6 linked regions of the Solanum lycopersicum genome follow. The protein of the gene in region 6 binds, or shares a complex with, the protein of the main gene of each other region. Links are inferred from orthologs where the notes say so. Each region holds a gene or a part of one and is shown on either strand. Other genes may lie near its edges. The genes, in order: transcription initiation factor TFIID subunit 15b, transcription initiation factor TFIID subunit 11, transcription initiation factor TFIID subunit 15, transcription initiation factor TFIID subunit 10, transcription initiation factor TFIID subunit 5 and transcription initiation factor TFIID subunit 1.

Evidence for each region.
Region 1: transcription initiation factor TFIID subunit 1 (region 6) and transcription initiation factor TFIID subunit 15b share a complex: the UniProt entries of both Arabidopsis thaliana proteins name them as parts of the TFIID complex. The link is inferred for Solanum lycopersicum from reciprocal best matches to the Arabidopsis thaliana genes HAF01 and TAF15b.
Region 2: transcription initiation factor TFIID subunit 1 (region 6) and transcription initiation factor TFIID subunit 11 share a complex: the UniProt entries of both Arabidopsis thaliana proteins name them as parts of the TFIID complex. The link is inferred for Solanum lycopersicum from reciprocal best matches to the Arabidopsis thaliana genes HAF01 and TAF11.
Region 3: transcription initiation factor TFIID subunit 1 (region 6) and transcription initiation factor TFIID subunit 15 share a complex: the UniProt entries of both Arabidopsis thaliana proteins name them as parts of the TFIID complex. The link is inferred for Solanum lycopersicum from reciprocal best matches to the Arabidopsis thaliana genes HAF01 and TAF15.
Region 4: transcription initiation factor TFIID subunit 1 (region 6) and transcription initiation factor TFIID subunit 10 share a complex: the UniProt entries of both Arabidopsis thaliana proteins name them as parts of the TFIID complex. The link is inferred for Solanum lycopersicum from reciprocal best matches to the Arabidopsis thaliana genes HAF01 and TAFII15.
Region 5: transcription initiation factor TFIID subunit 1 (region 6) and transcription initiation factor TFIID subunit 5 share a complex: the UniProt entries of both Arabidopsis thaliana proteins name them as parts of the TFIID complex. The link is inferred for Solanum lycopersicum from reciprocal best matches to the Arabidopsis thaliana genes HAF01 and TAF5.

Annotation. Positions count from the first base shown.
Region 1 is NC_090805.1:50,538,473-50,542,236, forward strand, and holds the end of transcription initiation factor TFIID subunit 15b, read left to right. Parts: coding exon 1-564; intron 565-837; coding exon 838-988; intron 989-1,071; coding exon 1,072-1,153; intron 1,154-2,257; coding exon 2,258-2,378; 3' UTR 2,379-2,811; downstream 2,812-3,764. UniProt on the Arabidopsis thaliana protein: TAFs are components of the transcription factor IID (TFIID) complex that is essential for mediating regulation of RNA polymerase transcription.
Region 2 is NC_090804.1:5,060,085-5,065,783, reverse strand, and holds the start of transcription initiation factor TFIID subunit 11, read left to right. Parts: upstream 1-1,751; 5' UTR 1,752-1,959; intron 1,960-3,220; 5' UTR 3,221-3,228; coding exon 3,229-3,545; intron 3,546-5,492; coding exon 5,493-5,580; intron 5,581-5,699. UniProt on the Arabidopsis thaliana protein: TAFs are components of the transcription factor IID (TFIID) complex that is essential for mediating regulation of RNA polymerase transcription.
Region 3 is NC_090810.1:45,838,325-45,843,921, forward strand, and holds the start of transcription initiation factor TFIID subunit 15, read left to right. Parts: upstream 1-1,688; 5' UTR 1,689-1,842; intron 1,843-4,064; 5' UTR 4,065-4,113; coding exon 4,114-4,233; exon of another isoform or gene 4,234-4,249; intron 4,250-4,374; coding exon 4,375-4,739; intron 4,740-4,863; coding exon 4,864-5,061; intron 5,062-5,597. UniProt on the Arabidopsis thaliana protein: TAFs are components of the transcription factor IID (TFIID) complex that is essential for mediating regulation of RNA polymerase transcription.
Region 4 is NC_090811.1:67,584,607-67,590,560, reverse strand, and holds transcription initiation factor TFIID subunit 10, read left to right. Parts: upstream 1-2,170; 5' UTR 2,171-2,542; coding exon 2,543-2,641; intron 2,642-2,720; coding exon 2,721-2,785; intron 2,786-3,900; coding exon 3,901-3,963; intron 3,964-5,105; coding exon 5,106-5,163; intron 5,164-5,225; coding exon 5,226-5,276; intron 5,277-5,520; coding exon 5,521-5,601; 3' UTR 5,602-5,868; downstream 5,869-5,954. Other genes in the region: protein GLUTAMINE DUMPER 2, read left to right, coding at 692-1,150. UniProt on the Arabidopsis thaliana protein: TAFs are components of the transcription factor IID (TFIID) complex that is essential for mediating regulation of RNA polymerase transcription.
Region 5 is NC_090805.1:43,575,632-43,581,577, forward strand, and holds the start of transcription initiation factor TFIID subunit 5, read left to right. Parts: upstream 1-2,443; 5' UTR 2,444-2,793; coding exon 2,794-2,984; intron 2,985-4,157; coding exon 4,158-4,239; intron 4,240-5,946. UniProt on the Arabidopsis thaliana protein: TAFs are components of the transcription factor IID (TFIID) complex that is essential for mediating regulation of RNA polymerase transcription.
Region 6 is NC_090806.1:3,247,647-3,252,805, forward strand, and holds part of transcription initiation factor TFIID subunit 1, read left to right. Parts: intron 1-3,209; coding exon 3,210-3,467; intron 3,468-4,787; coding exon 4,788-4,888; intron 4,889-5,159. UniProt on the Arabidopsis thaliana protein: TAFs are components of the transcription factor IID (TFIID) complex that is essential for mediating regulation of RNA polymerase transcription. Core scaffold of the TFIID complex.

The sequences.
Region 1 (3,764 bases), on a different chromosome or scaffold from region 6:
GGTAGCAGTTATAACAGAGGTGGAAGTGATGGCGGCTATGGAAATAGTCGAGGGGGAAGAGGTGACAACTATGAAAGCAGAAATGCTGGAGGTGGTAGAACTGGTTCTTATGGTGGTAGTCAGGGAAGAGATGGTGGTGGTTATGCCCAAGGTCCTCCTCATGCTCCTCCATCTTATGGGGCTGCTGATAGCAACTATCCACCACCTTCTAATACTTACGGTGGAAACCCCGATGCAGTTCCCCCGCCTGCGAGTTATGTTGGTGGACCTGCATCTTATCCCCCTTCGTATGGTGCCCCTGGTGGCTATGGTGGGGATACACCAGCTGATGCTCGTGGGGGTGGACGGGGTGGTCCACCAGGTGGATATGATGGGGGATATGGCGGTGGTGCCCGGAATACAGGAGGTGGTTATGGTAGTTCTCCAGCTGAGGCTCCGGTAAAGGTCAAGCAATGCGATGAGAATTGTGGAGATCTCTGTGACAACGCAAGAATATATATCTCAAATTTGCCTCCTGATGTGACCGTCGAAGAACTTAGAGAACTTTTTGGGAGCATTGGACAAGTAATATGCAGATTTCTTTCGGTTATGATTCTCAGTATCAGATTCATTCTGTCTTGTAGCATTTACGTTGTTCTTCTCTTAACTTCACGTGAACCCTTGCTGTGTTAATGTGGTATTGATGCCTGAGCTTAGACAGAAGGACAACCCAATACTTGCTACTTGATTTTGCAGACTAATTGCCATTGAATTGTGACAATAAAGAAGCTTACTTTTAATGACTTTCTCTTAGCATATATACCAGGGTAAGTGCTTAAGTTTCTTTTTAACGTGTAGGTTGCAAGAATCAAGCAAAAACGAGGTTACAAAGACCAGTGGCCTTGGAGCATAAAGCTATACACAGACGATCAAGGAAATAACAAAGGAGATGCAGTTCTGTCATACGAAGATCCTTCTGCAGCTCACTCTGCCGGCGGCTTTTTCAATAGTACAAACTAGACCCAAATTTATTCAATTGAGTTTACGCAGTATATTATTTACATGCTGACCATAAAATATAATCATCATCAGATCACGACTTCAGAGGTTACAAAATCACTGTAGCGATGGCTGAAAAGTCTGCACCAAAGCCGCCTCCGGCATTTGGTTCTGGGTGAGCCTTCTTAAATTACTGCATACTCTTTCTACTCCATTGCATTTTACCTCCAGTTGTGCTACAATTCACAGTTTATGTCAACTCACAACATGTCTTAGTGGTTATGCTGTGGAATGTATGCAGAGTTAGCAAGTGTGTTTAACTAGATAGTGGATGTATGGTTATTTTTATGAATTCTCCAGAGTTTTGGTTGTTTATCAAGTAGATGATCAGAGTTGTTCTTGCATCTGATGTTGACTCTAATTGCTGTGCCAAATTTCATACTAAAGTTGCATGCCTAAAATTCATACTTGATCGCATAGGGTGTCTGTATTGAAGTTTAATTTCAATAATTATTTTCAGTAAATTGTTAACATCATTGATACATTGATTTGTTCCCAGAGAAAAGCGAATTAAGCAATCAAATTTCATCTCTATAACTTGGTACTACATTTGTCCTTTATGAGGTGCATGGGAACCCGGTTAATCATAATTGTGTGGCTTCATTAGTAAACATTTTTTCTTTATCCTGCAAAAATATATTCATCAGCATCATCTATGTATATTTCAATGTAAAACTGTAAAGTTACATATTTCAATAGTGCTTTCAAGAATTAGTGTTTTTGTAATTTTTTTTGCATGTTGTATGTTGTAATTGTGTTTTTAATCGATGTCCATTTTTGCTACTTGAAAATCCACTTGCTGATTGACACCCTATGCATTCTTCCTGCCCTATGTTCTTTCTATTGCCATTTAGAACTGTTTATATATTTTATTGGCTCAAGGTTTAGAAAATGTTTAATCTATTGGATTGAATGAAGAATATGTTGTTTCTTTTATATTATATAGTTCCATCGGGTTAATGATATATTTGGCTGGCTTTATTTAAGCTGAGGGTATATCGGAAACCACCCCTCTATTTCTACGAGATAGGGTAAGGTCTGCGTAGTCTACTACCCTCCTAGACCCTCTTGTGGGATTGCACTGGTTATGTTGTTATTTGTTGGGTTAAATTTATAAATGGGATGGGGGACCTTTTGTGTATGCTGAACTTACGACTCCCTGTGCTAACCTGTATAGTAAATATATCTCTTATGCTCATGTCTGTCTATACTTTGACAGCCGTGGCGGTCGCGGAGGTTATGGTGGTGGTGGTGGCGGGCGCAGGGATAACTACAGAGACGGTGGAGGTTCCGGCCCAGATAGACAGTTTCATGGTGGAAATCGTTCACGTCCTTATTGAGTTCCAGTCGAGCATTTTATGTACTAAAATTTGTGGTGGGAGGGTTTTTTAGTTAGTTCCATTTCAAGATATACTCTCTGTGACTTAAAAGAGGTAGGCTGTTAACTCACTTCCATTTGAGCAATATCCACCTTCTCTTCTTTCTTTCTGCTACTTGGGGTTGCGTAAGGGGTGGGGTTTTCTAGTTCAGAACCTTTTTTGATATGTTGAATGTTTTGATAGAGGCGATTGGATATTCTGCAAATTGCTGCTAAGGTAGGTGAAATATTCAGGTGAGTGTTACTACTGTGGAAAACCGATTACTCTGGTAATTTAAGCTGAATGATGTTTGGTCTCTTTAAGTGATTTTGCTTGCATTTTGGAAATGCTAGCATCTCTGCACTAGACCCCTTGTATAATGAATTTGTTTCCTATATGATGTTGCTGTTAATTACTTGTACTGTTTTCTTTTATTGTGTATCTGCTAGTTCAGTTTCTCTTCCATGGAAGAATATGGAGGACAAGTCTCTTGTACTAAACACATTTTTCAGCATGAATGGCGGAGTACAATGGTGAAGTACTTGGTAATTTAATTGTAGGGATTAATGTTTGGATCAGAAAAAAGACATCCGACCACACAGCTATACAAATAATGATGATGTGTTAGTTACAATTTGAGAAAACAAGACTGTAAATTGATTGTTTGGTCTGAGTGCTTGCATGTTGGTTCTCAATCTATTCACAGGAAATAGGACCAGTGTCCAATTTTTTTGTCGTTCTAAATAAAATTCCGAGTGGCAATAGTTTTTCTTTGTGTGGAGCATACATTGGAAGTAGCTTGAATTTTCATTTTGGTACTTCTGCAGGTTTTTTGTACCCCATTTTTAGCCATGTGTCTGTTTTTATCATTTTCAAATTTGGTACAACAAATGAGTACTTTTTAGTGGGTAGTAGGATATTCTAGTTGTATGACCTTGGCTTATTCTATTATTCATACTATTCAGTCAATTAGCATTTAGACAATGTTTTTAACCTTTAATAATCCTTAAGAAGGTCTTGAGAACATTTATGTTGTACTGAATAATGGTTCATAGGCTAAACGGTTGTAAGATATTGTTTTCCTACAACCTGGAGGCACTGTTCTGCTATCGTATTGTTAAGACTCTGATGTGTCGATCTAAATATTATGTTTATTGGGGAGTTGGGGATTGGACATCATGTGTGAAGAAAGGTCTTCTGATATCTCTCAAGTTACCATGCAAATAAGATTTTGATGATTTTAATGTCTCCTGAAGGAAGGCGGCGGACAATGGTGCAATTCGTGATAATACCCAATATGGTGTATCTGATGTTTCGTTCAAAGTGCAGCTGAAATTTCTCGCTGTCGAGACCTTGATAAAAGTAGTG
Region 2 (5,699 bases), on a different chromosome or scaffold from region 6:
TGAAAAATAATTATAAAGCTCGTTAGCATCTTAAAAGAACATAATTTCGAGTGGATCATAGTTATACACACAATGTCTTGGTCATAATATGTGAATAAAATAATTTTTGACTTTAGTATATGCTTCATTATTATTAATAAAGCTTTAATTTAGGTCTTAACATATTTGTATTTTATAATTAATTTAATAGAATTCATTAATCATTATCTTTTTCATTCTACTCCACACCTTTTTTTTCAACATGTAGAAGTAACAGCTAGACAAGCTTATAAAGTTAGTTATTATTCCCAATTTTTTAAACGAAGAGTATATTCATTATAAATCATAAATTGAATAATATATTTATCTTTTCCTCCTTTATTTTCTTTCTTTTAATAATAATCACGATAAATAAATTAAACGGAGAAAATAACTCAAGATCTAAAATAGTAAAAGAAACAAAAAAAAATTCATATCATGATGCAACCAACTAAATATTTTATTGCAAATGTTTCATCATGTAAGCAATATCAAATGAGACATTTTTAATATAATTTTTTCAAGGTTAATACTTGCCACTTGAACCACTATCTTCATGATCAATAGAATGTGCGTTGAGTGAGCTGCATACACATGTTCCATCAACACAAATACATTTTGGAAACATATTTTCATGATTGTTACAATCATCTGTTGTGCTACATTTTCTCATGCCTGTCGCCACATCTAAAAAGTTATAAAACAATTGTTAACATTTTATAATACGTATTGACAAAGTAAAGAACTACAAAATCAACTGATCTGAAGGAAAAATGATAAGAGGAAAACAAAATAGACTAACCACAAGAAGCAATCAAGAAAGCAACAACAAAAAGTGCCATAATCGAAGTTTTGTCCATCTTTTTGTAAAATAATAAAACCTTTAAGAATTTTAGAGTGTTTCTTAGTTTTTATCGTACACAACCTTATATAGCATTTAGCATTGAAAACTTTCAAAAGAAAAAAATTTATTACAATAGTCTTGTTTTAGACTTTTAGTGATTTTCTTTTATAAATTTCTTGATTTGATTAATTGGTCAACAAAATTCTTTGTACTTAGTCAAAGAAATATTAAAATTCTAATTACTAACCATAAAAGAACAAAACTAAAAATGTTTTTAAAGTATGTGATATTCATTTAATTTGCTCTCCCTTGTATATGGGCCAAAATGAAAATAATTTGGTTAAAATCCTAGGCCCATTACTAAAAAACCATCTGTGATTTGTTTGGCCACAATTGCAAGAAGGTAAATGAAGGGTTGCGTATCGATTTCGTTTGATTTGAGGTTTATTGGTTATTGATTTAGAGATGTGCTAAATTATTTTAGAACTATTAAAATATTAACTTATCAGTTATCGATTTATTAATTATCAACTGTTATTGATTTGGTAATTTGTTTAACCGTTAAGATTTGATTTAAAATAATCACTTAAAAATACTGTGACGAACAAAATGAGTGGACATGTAAGTTCACATATCACATCACTGTTGAATAATCGAGAATTTGAGACACTCAAAAATAAAAAAGATAAATTTATATAGTAAATCAAGGACATTATCTACTAAATTGTATAAATATAATTCTTTAATTTACAATCAAGTTATTAGTTAATCCATTAAAAAAAATAATTTCAAATCATTAAAACTAATATCTCACTAATTAAAAAAAATCAAAATCGTTATTAAAACCGCTAAATCAATAATTTATTATCAGAGGCAATAACCTTTTTTTATTGGGATTATCTGTTTCCGTCCGCTTGAACTGCCCTAATTCATGAATCCAATCAAATCCGACCCGACCCGACCCATGAGCTAATCCAATTTAAACCCACAACCACATCAGCGAAATCGACCCGTCAAATTTCTTCAGACCGGCCGCCGGCACGCTCGCCGGAATTATCTTTGGTGAGAGATCAGTATCACAGAATTTGGCTCGCCAGGTATTTTTCTTTCTATTTGGATTGATCAATTATGATTTTGCCTAATATTGCAATGAACAATTTTTTTGGATAATCGTGGTGTCCGGGCTAGCTTTCGTGCAGTTCAATTGTTTGAAATCAGCTGGAAATCTTTCCGTTTATGACCTATTTCATGCTACAGCTGTTCACATACCTTAGATTTGTTCCGTGTTTATTTCGTTGGCAGAACCGATCCATTCCATTAGGGGAGGCCTGTTTCATGCTATAGCTGTTCACACTTTAGTTTTGGAAATGTTTTTAGGTTAAATCACATGCAAAGCTTGAATCTTTAAGGGTTGTTTGGTACAGGGAATGGGATAGACAAAGTTATCCTACCATATATATGATGGGATAAACAATCTCGGGACTAACTAATTTCCCTAACCAGATGCAGGATAAAATAGTCCTGCATTTTGTCTCGGAATTGTTATTCCTTATCCATCATACCAAACGACTCCTTATAGTCTTAGTTTTGTGACTTAGGATGTACCGGGAGGATGTCTTTGTATACCCACCAGGGCTTTGGTTATTGAGTGATGTGGTGGTTAGGCGTAAGTTACGTGTTCAAACCCTTTTGTTGGAAAAGCCTGGTATTTAAGTGGGAAGGGTAAAGGAATGAGCCCATTATACACCACAACAGACTGCAGGATCCTATCGGTTATGAAAAAGAAGAGAGGATATCTTATCATTGCTTCGTTGATGAAAATTTAACAGGGCAATAACTGCAGTTATATAACAAAAAATGTACCAGCGCAAGTAGACAACTACTTAACCTTTTGGTCTCACTTGAAATAGTACATTGTTTTTTTGTTGAAACTGATAACATGAAATAGTACAGTATTTGTCTTCTATATTTCATTTTTATCTTAATCTAGACATATTGAAGGATGGTGTAGCTTCTAGTTCAAACTTCAACAATGTTTCTTTGACATTGTTGCTTCATCCTTATCTTTACTTTCCTTCCTTCCGAATGCTTTAATCTTTTTCATCCTTGCAATGATCATTTGATTTGAGAATATCTGAGCTGCATCAGTTCAACTCCATTAATTTATCAATCGACCTGGTTGGAGAGTGTGGCCATTTTGTGAGGTCCAAATCAATCTAGTTATAATTTACCATGCCTCCCTAAAAAATTGTCTTGAACATATCACATTATTGTGTTGGAAGTTGGTATATCTCAATCAAAATGGATGAATGATTAGCATGGTGAATAATTTACTTGAATCTAAACATTCTGGTGCAGCGAATTCTATGAAGCGATCTAAGGATCCTTTTGAGGCTACTTTTGAGGAGCAGGATGACTCACCCCCTGAATCCCCTGCTGGAACCGATGAGAATGAAGGCCAAGATCAAGGTGCAGTTGGTGTTAATATGAATGAAGGTGACGATGTTAATACCGATTCTCGTGAAAAACCTTCAACATCTAAAGCTACATCAGTCTCTGTTAGTACTGCTGGTCCAATTAGCAAACCCAAAGAGGAAGATGAGGAGGAAGAGGAAGAAAGCATGGATGTGCAGTTAGGAAAACTCTCATCAAGTAGTGATCCTGACAAACTGGCGAAGATGCAGTAAGTTTGTCAGTTTATGTTTTCAAATATCTCGAACTCTTTCTGTTTACAAGGATTCCATTCACAGAAGATTGTCAAGATTGTATGCTATTATCCTGTTCTGTGATAGCTTATGTGGGTGGTTGGACCTGCCTACTGATCAATTTGCATAAAAGAATAACTCCTTTTCTGATGATTTCTATCCCTTCCTCTCACCTTCCTTTCTTTCCTTGTTGATTTGTTACTCAGACTATTAATTTAACTCTCTTTTGTATGCTGTATTCCCTCAGTATATCTGCTGTATCATTTTTTTTTTAACAAAAAGTATGTATATATAACCAGCAGGTCAATGCTTCTATTGAGATCTGTGAACAGATCTCATCTAGCTTGATATGCTTGATTTACTGCAGATAAACACCAGTAGGAAATATAGTAGCTGTTAAATAATAAATTGACATTTTGTATCAGCATTGTTAAGTAAGGGCAATATGGAGAATAACTAATTTAGTATGGAAGAAACCATATTGTGGTCAAGGCCAATAAAATGGGAATTGTACATTGCAGTTATATATATACTTGTTATGCTAAAGTTTTTCTTCTGCACCTCCTTGTTAAACAACAATATACCTAGTATAATCCCATAAGTGGGTTCTGGGAGGGTAAGATGCACGGAGACCCTACCCCTACCTTTGTGGGATAGAGAGGTTGTTTGGATACATCCCTGGCTTAAAAGGGAAGCTATTCATTGAAGGGTTGCAATAAGAAAACATGAAAACAAAATATCAGGACACATAGCAAAATGAAGCAACAAATAGTAGAAACACATAGAAAAATAAGAAACTATGCGAGTTACTAAATACTACTACTAATAAGGAGAAGAGGATATGGCATTGCCTCTCCCACCAAACGGGCGACCACACGCGGCTACCTACTAAATTTCTACTCTAATGCTCGACCTCCAGGCCTTCCTATCTAGGGTCTGCACCTCGTTTTTACGTGAGCTCAGTTTAGAATATTTTTCTATCCTATAATCAGCAGCGCTCTACCTGGTATTAATAGAGGTTCTATGACACTACAAGAAAAGAGGTAAAATTCCTTTTGAGGTAAGGTAGGTGAAGGGAGGTAGACATTTGGCTTCTCAAGTCTCGTACTTGTTATTCTATGTTGTCAAACTTTATTTGCTATCTATTTCCCATTCCTTCCAAATATGTGAAAGCATAAAAAGAGATCGAACTTCTCTGGTGCAACATACATTTTCAAAATATTCCTCGTCATTCGAACCCGAAATGTCTCCTGTTTCAATAACAGTTATAGGGTGATGGATGCTTTCATCCCAAAAGAAGAAAAAAAAACAAGAGAATAATTATGAAGCTATGGGAGTTGAAGGTTGTGATTTCAGATGTCATTCACAAGTAAAGTAGAATCTCTGATATGAAGCAATTATCACATATGTATTTTTAGATGCTTGAATTGCTGCAGCCTAGCCCTTTCTTTAGCTGTATCTCCTACTTCCACTAGAAAATAGAAAAACCATTTGCCATTTTTCTCTTATACCCGATCAGTGGTGGCTGCTATGTACCACCAGTACCTCCCTATTAAGGGATGGGCAACTCGCACCAAAATAGTCGTACTTGAGCCGAGGGTCTATTAGAAAGAGTCTCTGTACCTTCTCAAGGTAGGGGTGAACTTGTACACATCACCCTTCCTTAACCCCACTTCTGGGATTACACTGGGTATGTTGTTGTCTCACACACAGCTGTCGAATAGCTATATCCAAACAAAGCAGGACTTTATTAAAAAAGGATGGTTGTGTAGCCCTCACCTGGGTGGCTTCTCCTGTTACTGTAGAAGATTTAACTTTGGATTTGAGCTAGATCTAGTTAGACGCTCTCTGCAGAGGCAGTGACCATACCCCACAGCTACATCAGTCCAATAACTATTAGTTCACTTTGTTATCTTCTCTTTCAGGTCCATCTTATCCCAATTTACAGAGGAGCAGATGAGTAGATATGAATCTTTTAGGAGATCTGGATTTCAGAAATCCAACATGAAGCGGGTATGTTTTGCCATCCTACCCATTTTATCATCTTTTTCCTGCTTTTTGCATGTTCTGAATATGATCTGTACTATTATAGACAAAGTACTATAGATGATGTCAGAGTTGTTTTCTCCTCT
Region 3 (5,597 bases), on a different chromosome or scaffold from region 6:
AGTGCCACGTAGGCTAAAAAGGGGTAGAAAATTACTTATAAAATAAGTTCAGGGGGGTAATAGGATCTTAGTTTAGTATAAGTGTGTCTCTGGGATTTCGGACATAGGTTGAGGGGGTACTTGTGCATTTTCCCTTATTATTAGTATTAGTATTAGTATTAGTATTAGTATTATTAATATTTTATTATTTTTATTATTCTATTATTATTATTTATTTAATTATTCTTTATTATTATTATTATTATATATTATTATTATATTATTATTACTGTTGTTGTTGTTGTTGTTTTCATATTTTTTTTATTATTATTATTATAATTATTATTTATTATGTATAGTTATTATTATATATTGTTATTATTATTATTATAGTTAATATTATAATTAATATTTTATTTTTATCTTTTATTATTATAATTATCATTAGTATTATTTATTATTATTATTATTATATATTATCATTATTATTATTATTATACTTATAATAATAATGATAGTAATAATAATAATAATAATAATATAATTACAATAATAATAACATTATATTATTATTATTATTATATATTATTATCATTATAATATTATTATTATTATTTTATTATTATTATTATTATTATTATTATTTGTTATTATTATTATTTATTATTATAATATATTATTATTATAATAATAATAATTATTATTATTACAATAATTATAATAATAATAATAATAATAATAATAGTTGTTATTATTATATTATTATTATTATTTTCATATTAAATCATTATTATTATTATTTATTATTATTATTATAATTATTATTATTGTTATTTATACACAATTTATGATAATAAGGAAATATGTGAATGATAGCAAAATATAATTACTGATGGATGTAAAATATAAATTAATTTTGTTTCAGTTTTTGAAGTATAAAAATCGTAAATTAATCAACTTTTATCATGTTCACAACATTTATGGTATTTTAGACATTTTGATTAAAAAAGTGTTTACCAGCACTTATTTGTCAAACACATCAACAACCTTTTTTTAATTTCAGCACTTTTAGCCAAACACATAACTGCGTATTTTAAAAATAAGTTCCAACATTTTCAAAAGTACTTTTTAAAAGCTACTTTTAAGTCTATCCAAATGGGCTTTGAATCTTCACTATATAAATATAAATATAAAAACAAAAATTTTCTCTTTTCTCTTTAGTTTATACAATTTCTTCTACACTGTATAAATATACTAATTATACTATTCACCAAACAACGATAAATCCATAGTTTGCTAACATATGTTTTCTCTTTTCTCTTTACTTTATACAATTTCTTCTATACTGTATAAATATACTAATTATACAATTCACCAAACAGTAATTCTTCTGAGTTTACAAACATAAGCTTTTTCTTTTCTCTTTTCTCTTTACTTTATACAATTTCTTCTGCACTGTATAATATACTAATTATACAATTCACCAAACAGCTATTCATCCGTAGCAAACTACAATTTTGTTACGAAATGTAATTTTGAAAAGTTTGTCATTGCATAAAATTAAGAATTTTATATTTGTTATATGTGAAAGTTGTCCAAGAAATATTGTGTAGTTGTTTAATTTTTTTTTTCAAAAAAATAATTGTTTGTGCACTAGGCTCAAATGGATTTTGAACTCTTAGGCCCAAATTCGTGCAATGGATAAAAATGGACCCAACCCAAACACAATACATATTGTTTATTGGTTTCTGCCCCAATTTCAAAGGCACTCTTATTATACGGCGAAGTTGGCGCCGGCGAAATTGCTCTCTCTCCGTTGTTCTCCGGTGGATCTCTTCAGTACAGCCCCGGCGTAATCGAGTTGTAAGTCCCTCTCTAGATTCTTATTGTCAAAATTAAAACCCTAATTCCATTTTCACTCATGACTTGCATTGCTTCGCTTGTAATCTCACTGTATAACAAACCCTAGAATCCAACTTGTATAGTTCGTCGTGGATTGTACTCGAATTTACATACTACTTTCTTATTAATGGCTCCTAAATTCTATGTATTGCCAATCTGCCTGCCTTCACACACTGAAAAAGATTCAAGACTTATAAATATATTTTTTTTCCATGTGTTGTGGGTTTCATCTCCTTTTCGATAGGGTAAGATGAAAGTCATTAAAAATATACGTGCTGTCCTTATTGTATCAACCTATCGGAACATGATAGGCTATGGTAAAATTCATCAACTTTAAATCAACTCTTGTTCGGGTCCAAATAGTTTAGAAAATGCATGAAGGAGCAATCTTTCGAACTTTGTTGAATTTTTTGATATCTCTGTCCTTGCCACTATACATCTCCTGGCATATCCCAACAGACAGCAAACAAATTGAGAAATGACTGAACTAGCAAGGCTTGACTACAATAGAGAAATAGGTTTCTGCTGCTTTCCTGGTAACATTCACAGAAGAAACATCTACTGCACAAGGACACACCTTCTCTTTCAAGATTGTCCTGAATACAGGCATTCCTGGTTGCTTTTGGTTCCAACTCTACCAATACAAGTTACCTTGGAGGTACCTTTGATTTCCAAATAATTTTCAAAGGCTAATCCATATCTCAATCATGGGATTGCTTTTGTAGATCATAGCAACTCTTTACAGTAAAGTCTACTCTTTCTAGCCAGCCACTTCAATGAATTAATATTAATATCTTTTGCAGATACAGGTTGCAGAACCTCTTTAGAAGACCAAACTCATAACTCTCTAGTCTTTCCCAATCTTTGAGGTTTCTTCTAACTTCTAAGTTGTAGATGTTATCTAGTATTAGAGAAACAAACAGCCATCAGTTTATCATGCACTTCCTATTTAATGAAGTAGGGACCTCATTTTTTAGTATCACAATATCTAACTAGTGATCCAGTCAGAATCTGATGCATTTGCCGATTCCCACAACTCTGCTAGTAAAAGAGTTGAACTACCTTTAATAAGGATAAATATGCTTCCAAATAGTAGTTTCTATTAGTTATTAGTGATTTTAGGAGTCCACTGGTCCTCCTTGCCACATATGGTATTGATACTTTAGTTTTCATCTTTGAGTCTCCAAAGCCATTTGATTAGTAAGCTTTTGTTTTGAAGCCTGTTGTTCTGGTTATGGTGCATGTTTTTGTCAATGTTTAGCATGTCTTGCACTGTATTGTTCTCCATTTTTGAGCTATTGCAATGCTGGAACAAAGAGAGCAGGCTGTGCAAGAAATCCCCAAATACTTGGAATAGCATTCCTTGAGCCATTTGGTGGACTATATGGCTTGAAAGAAATAGCAGATTTTTTCTTAGGCAACTGAAGAATCAGACATACCCTTAAACAAAACTGTATACTTTTTTCGATCTTTTTAGTGCAAACTGGTTATTGAACATGATGAAGATGCTAGCCTAGATGCAATAGTGGATATGCTCAATGCCTCAAATCTCAATCTTTAGTTACATTTTGTGGCACTGACTTAGTGCAAGTACTTATAACATCATTGATAAGGAAAAAAATAGTGCGGGAGAGATATGAAGGATCATATAGCCAATACTAATTAGTTTGGGATGAAGACGTAGTTGATTGATTGATAAATCAGAGTTCCTGATAATTTTCTCAACTTGTTGCAAAAATTAACAGGCATCGACATGTGAAGGTCCCTAGTAGTGTTCTCAAATTGGGTATACTCGAAAGTATTGTATTCTACACGTGCTTTTAGCCCATTGACCTGAAATTCTATACTCATAAAGGACAATAACTACTTAGCTCTTTCCTTAATGTATTACAAGATTGCAGTAAGAAAACATTAACCAATTTCCAGCTGTTTTGGAAAATTTACTGCCAAGTGGCATTTGTCTCTAATCCCACCACTTAAAAGTTGGCTTCGTCCCAACTTCCTCCCTACACCCTATCTTATATAAAAAAAATTTCTTTAGTTATCTCTTCATTTCTTCTGGTTTGGTCCTTTGACTTGCACATACTCTGGTGCTTTTCTCAGTTTAATATGATTTGCCTGTAGTTACTTTTAAGGACAGGGGAACTGTGGCAGGACTAATACTAGGTTGTTGCTTTATGCAGTTCTTGGGGTTTTTATTGTGTCATTGGATTTGATGAAATTGGAGCATAAATGGCAAGCTATTCAGGGAAAGGATCTACATTAAATGGTTCTGTGTATGTCTGTAACTTGCCCCTTGGTACAGATGAAGATATGCTAGCTGAATATTTTGGCACAATAGGGGTGCTAAAGGTATGGTTGTGAACAGGTACTTCTAATTATGTTCGAGAATGTTTGTTATATGCTCTCTCCCACTTCCCCCTACTCTGCTTTGAACAGATCACTTTGATTTTTTTATTCTTTTCTAAGGATTTGTTTTGCTTCATGTTGTAGAAAGACAAACGAAGCGGTAGGCCCAAGATATGGTTATACCGTGATAAAGTTACTAATGAGCCCAAAGGCGATGCCACAGTCACATATGAAGACCCTCATGCTGCATTAGCTGCTGTTGAATGGTTCAATAACAAGGATTTTCATGGGTCAATGATTGGGGTATTTATTGCAGAGTCTAAGAACAAAGACGAGGCTTCCTATGTTTCAGTGAATCAAATTAGTGAGCCCAATCTGAACAGTGGTCTGGCTGTGCTGGATGAAGGCTCCAACGATATAGATGGAGGTGGCGGAAGAGGTAGGGGCAGGGGAGATGCTTCTGCAAAGGCATGGCAACAAGATGGTGACTGGCTGTGTCCAAATACAAGGTCTGTGATATGATCATTGGTGAGCAGCTCGTTCGTGCTCTACTGTATCTTCTTCAATTGTCTGTTTTTACTTCGAGTAGTCCAATATGTTTTTGTGCTTACAGTATTTGTAATTAATGTATAGCAGTTGCACTAATGTGAACTTTGCATTTCGTGGAGTTTGCAACCGCTGTGGAACTGCTCGGCCTGCTGGTGCTGGTGGCGGTGGGGCTGGAGCTGCTGGTCGCGGGAGAGGACGTGGTAGCCAGGACCCAGGCGCTCCTGGTCGTGCAGTTGGTGGTCCTCCAGGCCTCTTTGGTCCAAATGATTGGGCTTGTCCGATGTAAGAATCTTCATTTTCATTTTGCAACCTATTTTATTGAAATATGATACTCCCTATCCCAATTTATGAGACACATAACGGATTTCGACATTCAAACAAGTTTAGCTTTGACCGGAATTTTTTCATATACCTTTTAAATATTTTAAAATTGTCAATTATTGTAACTAATAGTACTTTCTACGTAGTTTACAAATGTATAAATTTCATTTTAAAAAAAATTGAAGATTCCATGAGCAAATTCTTGGTATAACTTAAACTGGTTGAATCTCAAAAAATGAAATGCGTCACATAAATTGGGACAGAGGGAGTATAATTTTTCACCCGTAAACTGCCTGAGCATATTCCCTGCACGCACTTCCATTTTCCTTATACCTTATCATAGAAAAACCATTCCGAGCATAATCAGACTTTGTATTCTCCTTATTGCACTAATCTTGAAGTTAGTCTAGTCTTCAGGTATCTGGTAGGTTTAAATTTGTGTTCTCCTATAAAGGCGTGCTTGTTAGAAATAGATACGGTTGGGTTTTACTGTACTC
Region 4 (5,954 bases), on a different chromosome or scaffold from region 6:
GAATCCAGATTAATCGAATCACCAAACATCAACATATGAAATGAATATTATTAGTATAAAAAGTACAAAAATTTCCTACATTTAGAGGCTAATTACATTTTACTTCGAAACTTTTCCTAATTACAGAAATTCTAAATTTTTCATTATTCTTAGATACATTCTGTGTTTGTCCGATACATTGCAAATGATACTTTACTTAACGAGAGGATATCCGAATATGAATTTTTATAATTTTTTAAAAACAAGAAATTTCAAAGATAACAATATATCATACTATCTCCGTCCATCTTTTAATTGTCTTAATTTCCTTTTTCAAAGTCAAACGATAATAACTTTAACTAATATTTTACGATATATTTTTACATCACAATGATATGCAAAAAAGAAAATTTGAAATTTATAATAATTTTGGTAAATTTTTTTCTTCTCATTAAATTTTATGATTCCCTATTGATCACTTCACCCTTCTTTTTAACTTACTTTTTCTCTTTTCACTATTCATCCACTAAATTTGTTTCATATAAATACACACATATACCATCTTTGCATTTCTCAAGCCAAGCTAAGTTTTATTTTTCTTATTTTCTTTGTTCTAAAAGTTTAATATTCGTTTCGCTCGCAAAAAATTTAATAAATTTTTCTATCGAAAAAATAAAATATTAGACATTTCATCTTCGAAAATAAAATAAAAATGCGAACAGTAAGTACCTTTACTACTGCTTCTCCATCAGTCTCTCCATCGGCGATTGTTCAAAAATCGCCATGGCATTCGCCGGCGCCGTATCTATTCGCCGGCGTAGCGTCCATGCTAGTGTTAATAACTTTTGCTTTAGTAATCCTAGCTTGTTCTTACTGGAGACGATCCGGCTATCCGAGAGAAAACGGCGATGTAGAATCCGGCGACGGCGAGAAATCGACCGGTGATGTTTTCAAGGCGTCGCCGGTTTTTGAGGAGAAAATAGTTGTGATAATGGCTGGAGATTTGAATCCAACTTTTTTGGCTACGCCTATTTCGAGTAGAGGTAATTCGTTTGGTGCTGGTGATAAAATTGAGAAGAAATTGGAAAAGGAAACTGAAGAATTTGATGATGAGAAGGCGAAAGATGAAGCTATGGATCAAGCTCATGAAGAATCTCAAATCGGCCATTGATGAAGCTACTGAGCTTTGAAAAAAAAAAAACAGAGCAATTTTCTCTATTTTTTTTTTTGAGTTCTTCCATTTTTGGTTTAATTTTTCAATTTTGAGATTCGGGAAATTGTACTCAATTTTGGTTGAGATAACAAAGAGTTAGAAAAAATTTTCGTTTTCGAGTAATATGTTTTCACGGAAATTGTTACTTCGATTTGATACGTGTTTTATTAGCTAACGATAATCATAAGAGTCATTTTGCTAAAAAATAAATAGATCGTTTTTAAATTTTTCAATGAAAAAAGTAAAATTGATGATATATTTTTAATATAATGAATGAAAAGAGTAGAATCAATTATATATCGATTTAGAAAATGAATTATTTGAAGAATCTCGAATGTATGTGCATATGTGACGTTTGCGATTTTATATCTATTGTGATTTACTAATTATATTTGATAATTTATAGTAATTAAATATGATTTAAAAATCATGCTTATTCATGCAATTTATAGGTCGTATCTATCGAATATGATATATAGTTAATCTATAAATTGAGTTACTATTAATATGTAATTTATAAATTATATTTATCTAATATAACTTTCAAATGATGCAAATCAAATGTGATATTAGTCATATTTGTGAAACATGATTTATAATCGTGCTTACCAAATCATTCAAGTACCAATTAAGTTACTCAATTGTATTGTAATTAAATTAGTTATCAAATAATATCCAAATTGTTTACTCAATAATAATATAATTCATTTTAATCTTCTATGATAGAGAAGAATAAAATGGCTAACATAAGTGATTATGAGTGTGTGTATATATATATATATATATACTTCAATGTAAATTTTAATTGCGTTTGGTTTGATAGAGAATAAAATAATTTAATTATATTTTTATTTTATAATTTTTTTAAATGTTATGAACTATCAAATTTAAAAAATAAAATAAAATATAATTTTTTTTTTTACGAAATATTATCGTTAGCTAGGTAAATATATATGCCCCTCTTCGCGAACGAATTTCACATAACAAAAATACAATTCTCCTCTATCTTAGGCCTTTTCTCATTTTTTTTCTTTTTTGCACAATTGTGGAGAAACAATTTTGAATTTTAAAAAATAATCAAAATTATAATATTTCTATATCCTAGAAGGAAAATAATATTACTTTTTCAATATGTGAGTTTAAAAATAATTTTTATATATATTTTTAAATATTTTAAATTATCGTAACCATAGTAATTTTACTTACCTATTACTAGAATATTTTTCTTCAGTTTCTTCTTCCGATTTTTTTCTCAAAGTAAAAAGGCACAAATCTTCCCCAATTTTCCTCCGGCGAAATTGAAACTCCGACCACCGCCGATCCTCCGTTGACTCTGTTTCGACGGTGAAGATGAACCAAAGTCAAGGTCAACAAACAAGTGAAGGAAGACACGAGGATGATGCTGTTCTAGCCGATTTCCTTGCTTCCTTGATGGACTATACTCCCACTGTGAGCTACTTTTTGCCCTTTTTCTTACTGAAGAGATCAATTTTATGTTTTATTTATGTAGGTTAACGCTTTTGATCAGATTCCTGATGAATTGGTGGAGCATTACTTGGGTAAAAGTGGATTTCAATGTCCTGATGTTCGATTGTATGTATTTTCTTCCCATTCTTATGTTGATGTTTCTGCAATTTAGCCTGCTTAGATTAGTTATAGAAAAATTGTTTGGATTGCTCATAAGGAAGATATGATTTTCGTGTGTTTATCTAGAACTATTTTCACTAGGTTTATCCTCTGTCTTGAGCTAACCGTAGTCTTTAAACTCGAATACGATGAACGCGCTCCTCAACCTACGTTTATTTTGCTTGGCGTAGCGAAAGCTCTACACTTTTGCCAAGTGAGCTAAGCCCTGGGGGTTCAAAGGGAGATATTATGTTACTGCAGCAAACAAATAAATTGGGCAAAGGTGCCCATATAATGATGTAAAATCCAGCTTGGGAGGATGTCCTCCCAAGATATTTCCTTCAACGAAGTAATAGAAAACTTAGCTGAATTATGTGCTAGTTTTGTTTAGACTTCTCGGAATATGAACAAAGTCTACATGATCAAGCAAGCTCTTAGCTTCCAAATGTCTTCACAAGTCACCTCTATCTCCCATGAGGTAGTTAACTTTTTCCTGAATCATAATCAATAACACTCTTTGCTTCCAATAGGATTCTCACATCCTTCCAATTGTTCCTGATTGTACGTTCAAGAGCCACTCTTAAAGCAAGTGCTTCAACAGTCATAGCTTTTCCCGCAAACTGGATTGGGGAAACATGGGCATGAATCAGTTTTCCAAGGCTTTCCAGAGCTGCAACACCAATATTTGCCAGTCCAGTATCCACCTGTAAACCTGCATCAGTAAACAATAATATAACATCTTGGTGGGTTGTTGGTGGAGCCGCAAGGCAATACCCATTTTTATGAAAATTAGATGAGCAATTAGCTGAATATCTTTATACTCGTAGCAATCAAACAGTGACTAAGCGGCAGTATTCTCTAGTTCCGTTTTTGTTTTGATCGTTTTCTATTTATCTGGTTTAGCAGTAAATTCAAGTAAAATTTATATATCTGTGAATTGGATTGGTATTTACCTTTTTACAAGTTGTAAATTTTAATATTGTAGCATTTGATGTTTTGTTTGACAGTGATGGCTGGTTTATCTTATGTTATCAGTTTTTAATACTGTGTTGTTGTATTGAGTTTTTCCTTTGGATATGCAGAATAAGGTTGGTGGCAGTTGCTACTCAGAAGTTTATTGCAGATGTGGCTACTGATGCTCTCCAGTATGTTTCTTAATTATTTTATTTTTCTTGAATTCTGTTTCCTCCTCCATCTTATGTTAAGTATGCTGCTAATTCTTCGGCATATTGCTCATCGATTGTCCCCTACTCTTGAGGCTTCAATGCAATTGTTGCCTGTCTAGGTGTTTGTCATTGTATGATCCTTCCAACTTTTAAGTGTTCAAGTTGTTCTCCTCCCCCAAACCTTAAAAAAACTCTTTTTGGTTCGTCTCTAATGAATTAGAAACATTAAGTTGGTAATTTTAGAATCCAAGCCTGTTATATTTTTAAAGACTGCCGACCCTAACTTGACTACACTACCAAAAATACAACACCTGAAATTCTCTATTGTTAGCGCAATAATACTACTACCTCAGGAGATTATTGTGTCTGTGACACTCCAAAACCTTAGAAAAGAGACAAAGAAACAGAAAAATACAATATAAAGAAACTAAGATATGACTTGAGTAGACATGTAGAAAGACCTTGTTTCAGAATATATGATTACAAATAACAAAGCATCCAACTTTCTCTGAACTTCCTTTCTTAATGTTTCCAATGGATTGTTATTTTCCTAATGCTTCTACTGGATTGTGGTAGATCTTCTCAACTGTGACAAATCAGTTGTGTTTTGTTTCGTTATCGACTCAAGATTTTGTGAATGCCTCACTTTACTCACTATTTTGCCTTCACTAGTCGTAATGAAAGTAAAACTCATGAAATGCTGTGAGTCTTTTGAGGATAGATTATGGCTTTATCATCGGAAGAAAGAATAAGAGTTTATGAATGGTCTCTTATGTATCCTTCATGTTTAGAAAGAAATGGATATTTATGAAACGGGCCATTCCAATAGAGAAACAACATAATGCCAGTGGTTGAAAGCAGGCAGGTCGATGAAAGTTAGGATATATCAGGAGCAAGGGGTATCTCCATTGGTATTCTGTGTAGAGACTAGAAATATGGTTGAGACAACAAGATGGCAGTGGTTGAAGGAAGGAAAGTTGATGACTTGTGGGTAGACCAGGATAAAGACACCCTCATTTTTTGTGTTGAGACAAAATATAGTTGAATTTTGAAATTCTTGTTAATGTCTTGGAAACCGAGCTTATATTAGATTAACTTTCTTATTTTTCATGGTAATGCAGACATTGCAAGGCAAGGCAGTCAACTATTGTCAAGGACAAGAGAGATAAGCAGCAAAAGGTGCTTCACTTTTTTCTCTTTTCATTTTCTTATGTTTATTGGTTCTAACTCTGTTTTAGCAGGACAAACGCCTTACCTTGACAATGGATGATCTTTCAAAATCTCTACGAGAGGTAATCATTCTTTGCTGGCCTATCAAAAAATAATAAAAAGTTATTCATCATTATAATTTCATCTTATTTATTCTATAAATAGTCTGCTGTATAATGCTTTTGACCAATCGAGTGGTCCATCCTTGTAGAACCTCTCTTGTTTCTTCTTCTCCAAAAGGCTGTTCTTGCGTTGCCAATATTTTTATCACTTCAGCGATACTTTTTGCATATGAGTGTTCTCCGTAACCTTTGATTTGCATTGCAGTATGGTGTTAACGTCAAACATCAAGACTACTTTGCTGATAGCCCGTCTGCCGGGTTAGATCCTGCTTCAAGAGAGGAATGATGTAATGCCTGCTAACAAATCTCTGTGATCACATAAATCTGATGGTTTTAGGTCATTGCGTTGTTGTCATCCTCTTGATTTCTCAAAAGCTATATATCTGTTGGAGGATACAACTCTTGACTACTATGTATCTCTATACTTACCAATGTTAACTGTAGTTGCCACCATTGATAGATTTCTCGTTTCGATATTCCTTTCATGGTAGCAATGAGGGTGATGTTGATAACTGGTTTGAATGTTTAAATTTGCTTTGAACTTGTTGATGAATGTGCTCTACATGTTTGGTTGTGTCTATTTCTGATGGAATACACTATTGTGGTAGCTGAAACATGACGGCTACACGAGTAGCTCTG
Region 5 (5,946 bases), on a different chromosome or scaffold from region 6:
CTTTTTTTAACCAAAGAAAAAAAAGTTTGCGACTTTGAAAAAACAATTCCGTTAAATAAGTTTATAAAAGATTAAAATGAAAGTGGGCTGTTGATAAATATAGAAGTAAAAGGATAATATAAGAAGAATGAGGAATAAATTTCTTGTCTTTTACGTTTACGTGCGAAGACTTCTTTTTTTTTTTCATTAATTTTATTTATTTACTAGTATTCTTTATTAATTAAAAAAAATTGACTCTCATTCATCATAATTAACTCTTTAAGTATTTTTATTTTCTCCGGTACTAATTATTAATTTCTTGATATGAGTGTTGCCTGTTTATTCTTTATCAATTAATAAGTATTGAATTATGAACGTAATATAAATATTATCAAGATTATATTTAAATAGTAGCTTTAAAAAAATATATTCCCTTCGTTACATTTTATGTGACACAATTTCCTTTTGGTCAGCCTCCCCTCCCCCCCCCCCTCCCCAAAAAAAGAATCACATTTTCTTATATATGGTAAGTATTTAAATGTATAATTCATTTTTTACTCTTGTTGGTCCCATTTAATTTTAAAGATGGTACATAATACATTTATGAGGAGAGAGAAAATTGAGTTGACTTTTTTGAATGACAATTTAACAAATATTTCAAAGTCTTCATTATTTCTTAAACTATGTGTCCGGTCAAATGTTGTCACATAAAATGGGACGGAGGGAGTACAAGTTTAAAACTGATGAATATTATTATTAGAGTTCTTTTAATTTAACGATTCTTTCAATCCTTACCGACATTCTTGATAAGTAAGATGATTAGATTGAAACTAAAATTTGTATTCTCTTGGTTATATATTTGTAACACGACATAAAGTCAATGGAATATGAATATATTAAGTTAACACTATGTTTATGCAAGCTCAAATTTTGGTGTAAAAAAACTGTTTTTCCTCAAAGTTTCAGCAAATAAGGCCACCAATTCCTAAAAAAGAAATAAAATTTGAATTGTTTAGTTATCGCTGGAGGTTTGCTGATGTATTCGAGATCTATAAGTTTAAGAGATTTTTGTAATTTAATTTGAAAAAAAAATAGAAATAAGATGTAATTAGCTCGTAGTACTATGTAATTCGTGCAACTTTTATAATAAACAATCATTTTATACATTTCCTCAAATAATTATTGTTTAATTATCATCATCATATTTAAGACTTTTGAATTAAATAAAGTCCTTATTTGATTTAAGTAAGAATTTATGATATTTAAACTTCTAAATTAATTACCATTTTACCTTTTATAGTCAAACTTTACCAAAAAAATACAGCTGTTTCGTCTACATCAACATTTTTTTCATTTAGGTTTTGATTCAGGTTGCCTTCTTGCATTTGTTATCATCATCCTTCATTCAGGTTTCGATTCAGGTCTACCCCTTTTGAACAATTTCTTGTGTTTCTATTTCAGTTGAAAATTTGGAGAGAAGAAGCATGTCGCAGCCGCCGAAAAGATCAAATTAAATCTATCATGCAGGACAAATCAAAGGTTTATCTCTTTTCTTTTTCCACCAATCTTTTTCTACGGAAATGGTGGTTCTTTGATTGCCGCAAGATTTACTCCTTTTAAATACATTCGATAGTTTTTCTGCCATTTAAAATGTAACAATATATAACATTATTATCATAGTAATTTTTGTTAATTTGATTATTGCTCTTTTTTCTCTCTCTCTAAATGTTTTCTTAGACTACAAGTATTTGTAATAAATATTTATTTTATTATATTTGATTATAGTTAAAATAAAACAGATAAAAAGATCAAATAAGTAAATGATTTATATACGACGTGGCGTTGAATGCAAATACAAAAGAAAGAGAATGGAATAATAATTGACATTCTTTTTTGGTCAATAGAATTTAAAAGATTAATCATTTTTTTTTTTTTGAATGTGAGGAGTTTCTGATTAGCCAACAATCCACCCTATAAGCACAGTTCATGTTACCATCACTTGATGAAATTTACATTTAAGGCTAGGTGACGCCTTCTTATCACATAAGACTCTGAAAATAAAACTTCCACTTTCTCAATCTCATATCAATACGTTGGGTGTTACTTGTCAATCTTTCCGTTTTTAGATAATACATCCAAAATACTTGAAACTATCTCTCTTTTGGATGACTAGTATATCAAGTCTCACTTCTCCACATCAGCCTCATGCACCACATTGTTAAATTTGTACTTTGAGTATCCAATTTTAGTCATGTCCTCAGCCCGAATCATTCACTGTAAAGTCTATTTATAAATCTCTATGTGAACGTTAACTCCGTCGCTAGTCTCACCAATCAAAATTATATTATCTGCAAATAACATATACTGTGACACCCCACCTTAGATCTGCCATATTAATACATTTTTTAAATATTAATTCTTAGTAGTATTTCAAATATACATGATTATATACTATTGTCTCACCGGTTCACATTAGCATAAAAAAGTTTGCATCTTTTGACTCTAGTTTGTTGTGATAATCTTTGATTTTTGCTTCCGAAGATAAATAAATTTCTCACAAAATAATATATTATGTCCTTAAAAAACTTATTCTTCACTAAGCATATGGGTCCATTTAAAGGGCAAATCTTGTGATTAAGAGAGAAATTGGAGCCTAACCAAAAAAATATAAAACAAAACACCTTCCATAAACAAAGTGACGACGACGTCGTATTAAGTCCCTCCAGAAACCCCAAATCAAAATTCTCGGTCCTATAAACCCCAGGTGTTTTCTTCTTCTTCTTCCCAATTCTCAAAATCTTACCATTTCTCGCCATGGATGAAGAAGAGATTGAGAAAGCAGTCGTAGCGTATTTGAAGAAGAAGGGTTTCAAGCAAACGGAGATTGCTTTTCAAGAAGAACAGCAAGTGAATAAAAACAGTTCTTCTTCAATCCATAATAACAACAACTCAGCAAATTCTCAGATTGACCCCGACTTAACCAAAAAAATCCTTTCTTTCTCTGAGTAAGTTTCTTTTTTCCACTTAATTTGATGTAAAAATTACTGTTTGGCTAAGAGGATTAAGTTCTAAAATCAATTTACCTTGAAAGATAGTTTAATTTCAATGAAACACGTTTAAGTAGAGAAGGATTGAGTACAGAAGATCTGAAAACTAGTTTAGGGTTGAGAGGTGACTTGGTTGTTGGAAGAAAAGCAGGAGCAATATAATTGAAGCAGTTTTTCTGCACCCTCCAGTAGCATTTCTGCAAATGCCCAAATTGACCCTGAACCGTCAGACAAAAATAATCTGTTCTCTGTAGATAACATAAATTTAATTACTGGACCCATTCTAAAGAGGGAGAAATCAGCACTACTTGGTGAAATAGGTTCTTTTTGAATCAATTGTCCTCTTCTCCTGTATTTTAAATGCAGAGTGCTTAGCCATGAGGTTGCGGTTCTAAATAGCATTGACAATGCCCAGAACCACTTTTGAGGTACTAGCACACTGTCTAGGAATTGGAAAGAGAGGATCAAAGGAAATTTGGCGGAAGAATATCCCTGTTTGTATCTGGTGGACGTTATGAAAAAAAAAGGAATGAGAGATATTATGAAGGGAAGGGTAGCAGCACACAGAAGATCAAGATGAGATCTCTTAGTATTATATTTTTTTGGTGTAAGCAAGATTTAGTGGGGACAATAGATAGCTTAGTGGAGATTATAGGCCAACTGTAAATTTTTGAAAGTTTGTTTTTGGATTTTGAGTATGATGGCATCCCCTGGGGTTTGTAAATTCCTCCTCATCAGTCTGATGAGTTCTTTTGTGCGGATTTAAGTTACCTATTTCAAAATAAATAAATAAATAGAGGGGATGTAGAGGAGGATTTATGAGCTGACCCAAAGTCTCAAACTGTTTAGGATTGAGGCTTCATTAGTTGTTTCAAGAAGGGAAGCAACAATAATTGTGTGTTTGGTATGGAGGAAGCTTTGGTGTTATTTTACATTCTATTAGTGACATTACACTTTGGAGCTTCCTACTTTTAGAATATTACAGATATAGATGGATAGATGTTATGGCTCCGTTTTCACACCGCCTTACACTAGCTGGAAGTCTTGACAGCTGTATAACGCATACTTTCTGGTTATTTTCTTAGCATGCATCTTTGATATCATTCTGAATCTAAATTTTTATGTTTTCAGATTTGAAACCAGTCCCCAACGATACCAAGAAGAATATAGCAAACTTCGGTCATGGGCCTATAGTTCACTGGATCTGTATAAGGTTGGTCCCCTGACTTGTGCTAACAGTAACATGAGAAGTAGTTTATGCAGTATCATGATGCATAGCTCCTCATGACATGTAATGCACTAATAATAGGTCTGCCACCAGTAACACCATAGGAAATAAACATAAATGGAAAGGAAAGGCTTTCATTTTCTCTTTTATTTAGCCCTTTTTAATCCTTAACATAATGTATTAGTGATGTGCACCTTGACCTATTAATACTTCTGCTGCTGTCTTTCTGGCAGTGACAAGGTCTTCAAAATTGAGTTCTCATATTTGTGATTCTCAACTCTAGTTCATTGACTTATGCTATAAATGTAGCACCAGTGATGGATTTAGTACTGTCTTCTACCATTGCGATCATAATAGCGAGCCAAAAATAGCTCTTCATAACATAAGCATGACAAGCGTGCCGTCTTCATACAAGTTAGGTTGTGTGATTATACAAGCCAGATGAAAAAGTGATGAAAATGGTTCCATATGTTTGGTAGGTTCAAGTTGGTCCCTTAATACTCTTGAACAATTTTGGTCCTTTAAGTTCACCAAAAGCGAAAACACCCTTTGGGGGGGGGGGCAGTGGTTTGGGCTTGGGGCTTCCATTTTGGAGGTTTCAAGTTCGAAACCCCTTGCTAGCAAAAGCAAGGGTCCAGTTTAGAAAATCAAGAGATAATTTACCTTTTGTGTCCTTTGTTATTAAATACTATTTATCATCTAACACATTTTCCAGAGCATTAAATTTAATAAAGTCAAAGGATAAAATAGTAATGTTACCGCTATTATTTATTGTTTCTTAAGGGTGTGCTAAGTCAATAGTAGACAACTATTGTTGGACCAAGGGAGTAACATCTATAGTTTCAACGTTTGCCAGCTTGCTAATTTTGGTTTATTTTTGGAGGATGGTGCAGCTTTTGAAGTGCAATTTTGCCATCTTTTAATATCTATTGTGTGGTATATGGTTCAATTTTTGGTGTTGCAATTTTCAAGATAGGACAGGACTTTTTGGTGTTTTTGGTTGGATAGTTATTTTGACCATTCCGATGAAGTCTACCCATTCAAGTTCTGTTTAAAAAAAAAAAGGGTCCAACCACTTGAGTTCTGTTTCAAAAAAAAAAGTCTTAACCATCCGAGTTTGTTAAATATTTGTCAGAGACCAAATGCTCACTTTTGGCAAACTTAGAAAACCCAAATTGTTGGGGGGTATATTGAAGGACCACCTTGAACCTATACTCAAACATAAGGAGCCATTTTTTCTCTCTCTCCAAGTTAGACACTTCCTTTTGACTTACTCTTTAATCTTCAAGATTTTGTGGTTTCCTGTAATAGCTGAAGCTACCTTCCATTTATTTTTGTCCATTTCTGTCTACCTTGTCTCAGTCCATTCCAGATTGCCTCTCTCTTTCTATTGGAATTGAAGGATGTGCTGTGTGCATCTGGATTTTCTCCAATTCCAACATAATCTGATATTGATTGAAAAGAGGGAAGTTAAGCTAGCTAACGAAGGGGTTGGGATCCGCCTCGCCCTTAAAGATCCGCCCCTCGTTTCACTCTGAAAATTTATTATCAGCTCCTTCTGTTATTTAGCCATCTCTCTCCATAAAATTCTTTCACGTACATGAAAGTTATTTCATATCCTAGAGAGTGCGGTTGTATTGTCTCTCTAAAGAATCGTAGGATCCATTGGAGATAAAATGAAACAATTTTAAA
Region 6 (5,159 bases):
ATAATTGATTTATATTTTTCAAATTAGTATATTTCAATTGAATTAAATATAAAAACTAAAAGTACAAGATTTCTATGAACATCATGAAATGCATGTTTGACAAAAAAATTAATATTATTAATAAAATGTCATTAATTGTTAAAATATTAGACAAAATGATAATCTATCAAGTCTAACTAAAAAATAAATGAATTGCATTGTGAAGTCTCAAGTCAATACTACTAAAGCAAATGTAACATAAGTTCTAAATTCAAAACAAAAAATTTAACATAATATTATTATGTCAAATTTCAACATAACATACATAAATATTATTTAAGAGAAAAATAAACTATAACCTTACTTAGCAATGAATTCTCTAGTTTAAAAGTTAGAATACTAACAAAATTATGCTAATGAAAAAAAAAACATTGTATAAGAAAATAGATAATATGTAAAATTGTATGGAATCACATGAAATAAAGGTTGAAAATGCGAAGGAAATGAAATATAAATAAAATAGAAAATAAATTATTAGGAGTTTTTAGAATAATAAAAATAAATTTTTTTTAAAGTATAAATTAAAGAAAATAAAACTAATAATAAAATAAAGAAATTAAAAAGTAATCAGCTTGTGGCTTGTAATTGCACCATGTAATTACCAACAATTCACAGTCCCTCCCTGGGAATTGGAGAGTATAATTACTCCTGCCAATTACACCCAATTACCTGCAAACCAAGTAATTACATGACCAACCAAACACATCAATAGTTGCACCAATTACACCAAATTCAATTACCAGGTGGCTTTCCAAATAGGCCCTTCTTTGTGTTATTATATCTGGACCTTGGTGTGTTCAAGCTCCAATGGGCTTCTAGGTCTTTATTCTGTTTTCTATTTTTTTTTTTTTGAAATTGGTAAATTGTATTCCTTCAGCATTAAGGCTATGCTGGCCACCTCCAAGTACTTTACAAAAAGAGAAGAGAGATACTCACAAAAAAGCCTATAAATTCCACTAATTGGATTTCCTCTTCTATACTCTGTTCTTTACACCAAAAACCTAGTAAAGTAATTACTTTCCACTTAATCTTCAAAATAGAGGATTCTTTTCCTTCAAAGATCCTCTGGTTCCTCTCCTTCCAAATGGTCCACCAGATGCAGGCTGGGACTGTCCTCCACCATATTTTTTGGCTTTTGCTTCCTCCTCTTCTGATAACAGCTAAGCAAGTCTGCAGTATGTTCAGGCATGATCCAATTGATCCCAGCAATGGCAGTGAACATAGCCCAAATTTGTGTTGTTACTTTGCAATGCATGAAAGGTGTTTGTTGGTTTCTAGTGTCTCCTTGCAGAGGAGGCATCTAGATGCTATGATGAACCCCCTTTTTTGCAATGCCTCATGTGTCAAGCATGCTTTCCTAGCTACTAGCCAAGTGAAGCATTTCACTTTATTAGGAGCCACACTTTCCCATATAGTATTCCAAGGTCCAGTTGACCTGCCTCCAGCAACACACAGTTCCCTTTTGTATACTCTGTTAACAGTGAGAATTCCATCATTGTGGTGTCTCCCAATGAGTTTGTCTGAATCTGTATTAATGCCCGGGAAGTTTCCTATTAGTTTTGGAAAATCTACTACCCATGGTATTTTCCAATCATTTAGGGGTCTTCTGAAAGTGAGGTTCCAGCCTTGAGGGGACCACATTTTCTGTATACTGCATCCAGTATTCAAGCTTATTGAGAATAGTCTAGGAAAAAGGGATTGAAGTGTGCCATGACCGCTCCAGTCCTCTTTCCAAAAAAGTATCTTGTCTCCCCTACCAACTCTAACTTTGGTGTTTAGCTTGAGAGTCGTCCATAGATTCCTGATAGATTTCCAAACCCCAACCCATATGTATTAGTCACTTTATTAGTGCACCATTGCCCCTCCGCACCATACTTATGAAGGATAATCTCCCTCCACAAGGCCTGATTTCTTGAGTAAATCTCCATAGCCATTTGGTAAGTGAACTCTTATTATGAAGCTTTAAGTTCCTCACTGCCAGACCTCCAAAACTCTTGCTTTGCTGAACTGCGCTCCATTTTACCAGGTTGAAACTTTTCTCAATCTTGCTTCCTTGCCATAAGAAATCCCTTCTCAACTTGTTTAAGATTTTCCTCACCACACCAGGGATGGGGGATAAAACATTACATATGTTGGCAGAGAATCTAGGACTACATGATCAAAACAACTCTACCTCCCAAGGAAAGGTATTTTGATTTCCAAAGAGCTAGTCTTTTTTTTGTTTTCTCTATTATTCCATCCCAAATATTCACAGCTTTGTGATTAGCACCCAATGGCATCCCCAGATAAATTGTGGGCAACTCCTCTATCCCGGACCTCAAAATACCTGCCAGAGATTGAATTTGTTGCACCTCTTTCACTGGAAAAATATTGCTATTCCCCCAGTTAATCTTCAACCCAGAGCAAGCTTCAAAGATCACCAGTATCACCCTTAGGTAGCAAATTTGTTCTTGTTTAGCTTCGCAGAAAATCAGTGTCATCAGCATATAATAAGTGTGTCACCTCCAAGATTTCATTGTTCCTGTTCTTAATGCTAAAGCCTTTTATCCAGTTGTTTGTTGCAGCCCTTCTCATCAGACTGCCTAGCCCTTCCATAGCTATGATAAACAAGAAAGGTGACGGGGGTCCCCTTGTCTCAGACCCCTTTCAGCTGGGAAAAAACCCAGGATGGAGAACCTGGTAGTTTTGATACAGAATTCTATCCACTTATTCCACCTTCTCCCGAATCCCATTTGCCTGAGAATGTTCAACAAGAAACTCCAGTTCAGGTGATCAAAGGCCTTTTCAATATCTAGCTTGCACATAACTCCAGGCACATCTCCTCTAATCCTGCTGTCAATGCATTCACTAGCAATAAGAGCAGCATCCATTATTTGTCTCCCTTTAATGAAAGCCATCTGGTGGTTTTTTACAACTCTGCTTATTACCTTCTTTAGTCTCTCAGCCAGCACCTTTGCTATGATTTTGTAAACCCCGGAGATTAAACTAATTGGGTCTGAAATCTCTTACACTGGGTTTTCATCATCATTCTGAAGCACACGGTTCAGTGTTTCATAGAGCTTACACTGGGTTTTCATCATCATTTTGAAGCCATTAGGCTTAATTCGACCCATCTTTTCTTTCAGAAGTCATTTCTCATTACTTTTCTTCCCTCTGTTTTATTAAAACAGATTATGATGAGAAGGCTGAAGATGCTGTAGATTATGAGGACATTGATGAGCAATATGAAGGACCTGAGGTACAAACTGTTACCGAAGAGGACCTATTGTTGCCGAAGAGGGATTACTTTTCAACAGAAATCTCTCTAACTACTTTGGAGAATCGTGATTCTGTTTTTGATGATGAAAACTATGATGAGGATGATAATGAAGAGAAGGAACAGGAGGTGGTAGAGAAAGCTGCTGAAGTTCAATCTACTCCTGTAAAAGGTTAGTTTAAAAGCATTTTTTTCTTGGGTACTGGTGTTTCGTAAATGCTTTTATGTTGTTACAAGTATTGATGACTGTGCAATATTTTGGAGTGTAAGTTTACCTTTTGATATTTTAATCTCTTCACTGATTTCCACTACTAGATTTAAAGGGCAGTTCCTCATGTTAGTTTGTTACAAACCTCAGTTCTATTACAGAAAGTGCTGCTCACCTATAAAATGAAATTGAAAGCCGACATAACCCAGAGTCCCATCTATAAGGGGGCATCAGAAAATAAAAGTAGAATTGTGAAAGCAAGATATTATCCTAGAAACAGGATAAAAAAAAGTTGATCCTTGAGATAAATCTTTGTGGTAGGTTTTTTTCGAACTCTTTTTCTGTTGCAGCTTTCTGTGCTAAATTTCATTTTTCTTCTAGCTTTTTGGTGAAATAAAATTGTTTGCAGCAGCTGTGAACAAGTCTATGAGACAATACTTTTTTTTTGGTGAGAGGGGGTCTTATGAGGGAAAGATCATGGGGGCGTTAGATGCCTTGACGCTACGGCAGGGCTCTGAATGAGCAGATAGATTTTGCAGTGGGAAGAGGTAGGGAGCTGCGGATAGGATGGACAGTATGTGAATTACAAGAGACATATTGCGTACTTTTATTCTATTTTGCTTCAGCTTTTATATTTAGGGAAAAGGGCCAAACTGCTCTTCAAGCTGATATCACATGGAACTAGTCGAGGCGAGCACAAGCTGGTCTGGACACCATGTTTTTTTTTTTAACAATCGCTCTCTGTTTGAATTTGGTCCCGAATTTGCCCTCATCGTTGAAGTACTTCCTCAGATTTTTGAGAAGAAATACTTGCTCAGATTTGCCTCTTAGAAAAAACGAAATTCACTCTTTCTTTTTCAATCATCTTTTTTTATTTTAGGGCCGAATATGTATTTAACTTCTGTCGCTGAAAAACAGACCCAAAAAAATATAAGAAAAAAAAGGAGATGTAACTTTTTTTCTTCCGAAATATACATCAAAACTAGGCACTTTGTGTTATGTATTGGATTAGTATCTGTTATCTTTGTTTTCCATCTCAAATATTCTGGACAACACTATCAAAGAACATTACTCCTGACCGTACCCTTCTATTCAATAAAAAAAAAGATCTTAAGATATGAAAATTTGATTGCTTTCCAAGATCTGTTGAGATATGAGGAATTAATTAACGACAGGGAGATTACTGTTGGAGGAAAAGGAATAAATCTTGGAGTTGCATTATTTCAGTTAAATATTTCTCTTTGCATCTTCACGTTAGACCTATTTGTCATGTTCTGTTTGTAGGAGAATACAACAATGAAGCTGAAGTCATTTCTCTTGGGAATAAGGTTCCAGAAGAAGTTATATCCATGGATGCTCCCGAATCTAGTGAAGATCTTCAAGAGGTTTGCCCTTTACAAATTAATAAGAAGAACTACTTATCATTTTGTGATCCTTTTATTCTGACTTGTAGCATGATGTGCATGTCATCTCTTTCTTTCTCACTTCTTGTCCTTTCCTTCTTGTGAAATAGGTCATCAAACAATTGATATCTTTGCGTCACTTTCTATTTATGATCAAGGTTTTCAATGGCTTCTTGAGATTTTCCTGAAATAGCTATTTGAGTAGTTCATAATCTTCCATGACGATAATTTCTTTTAATGCTCGAAGATTGAT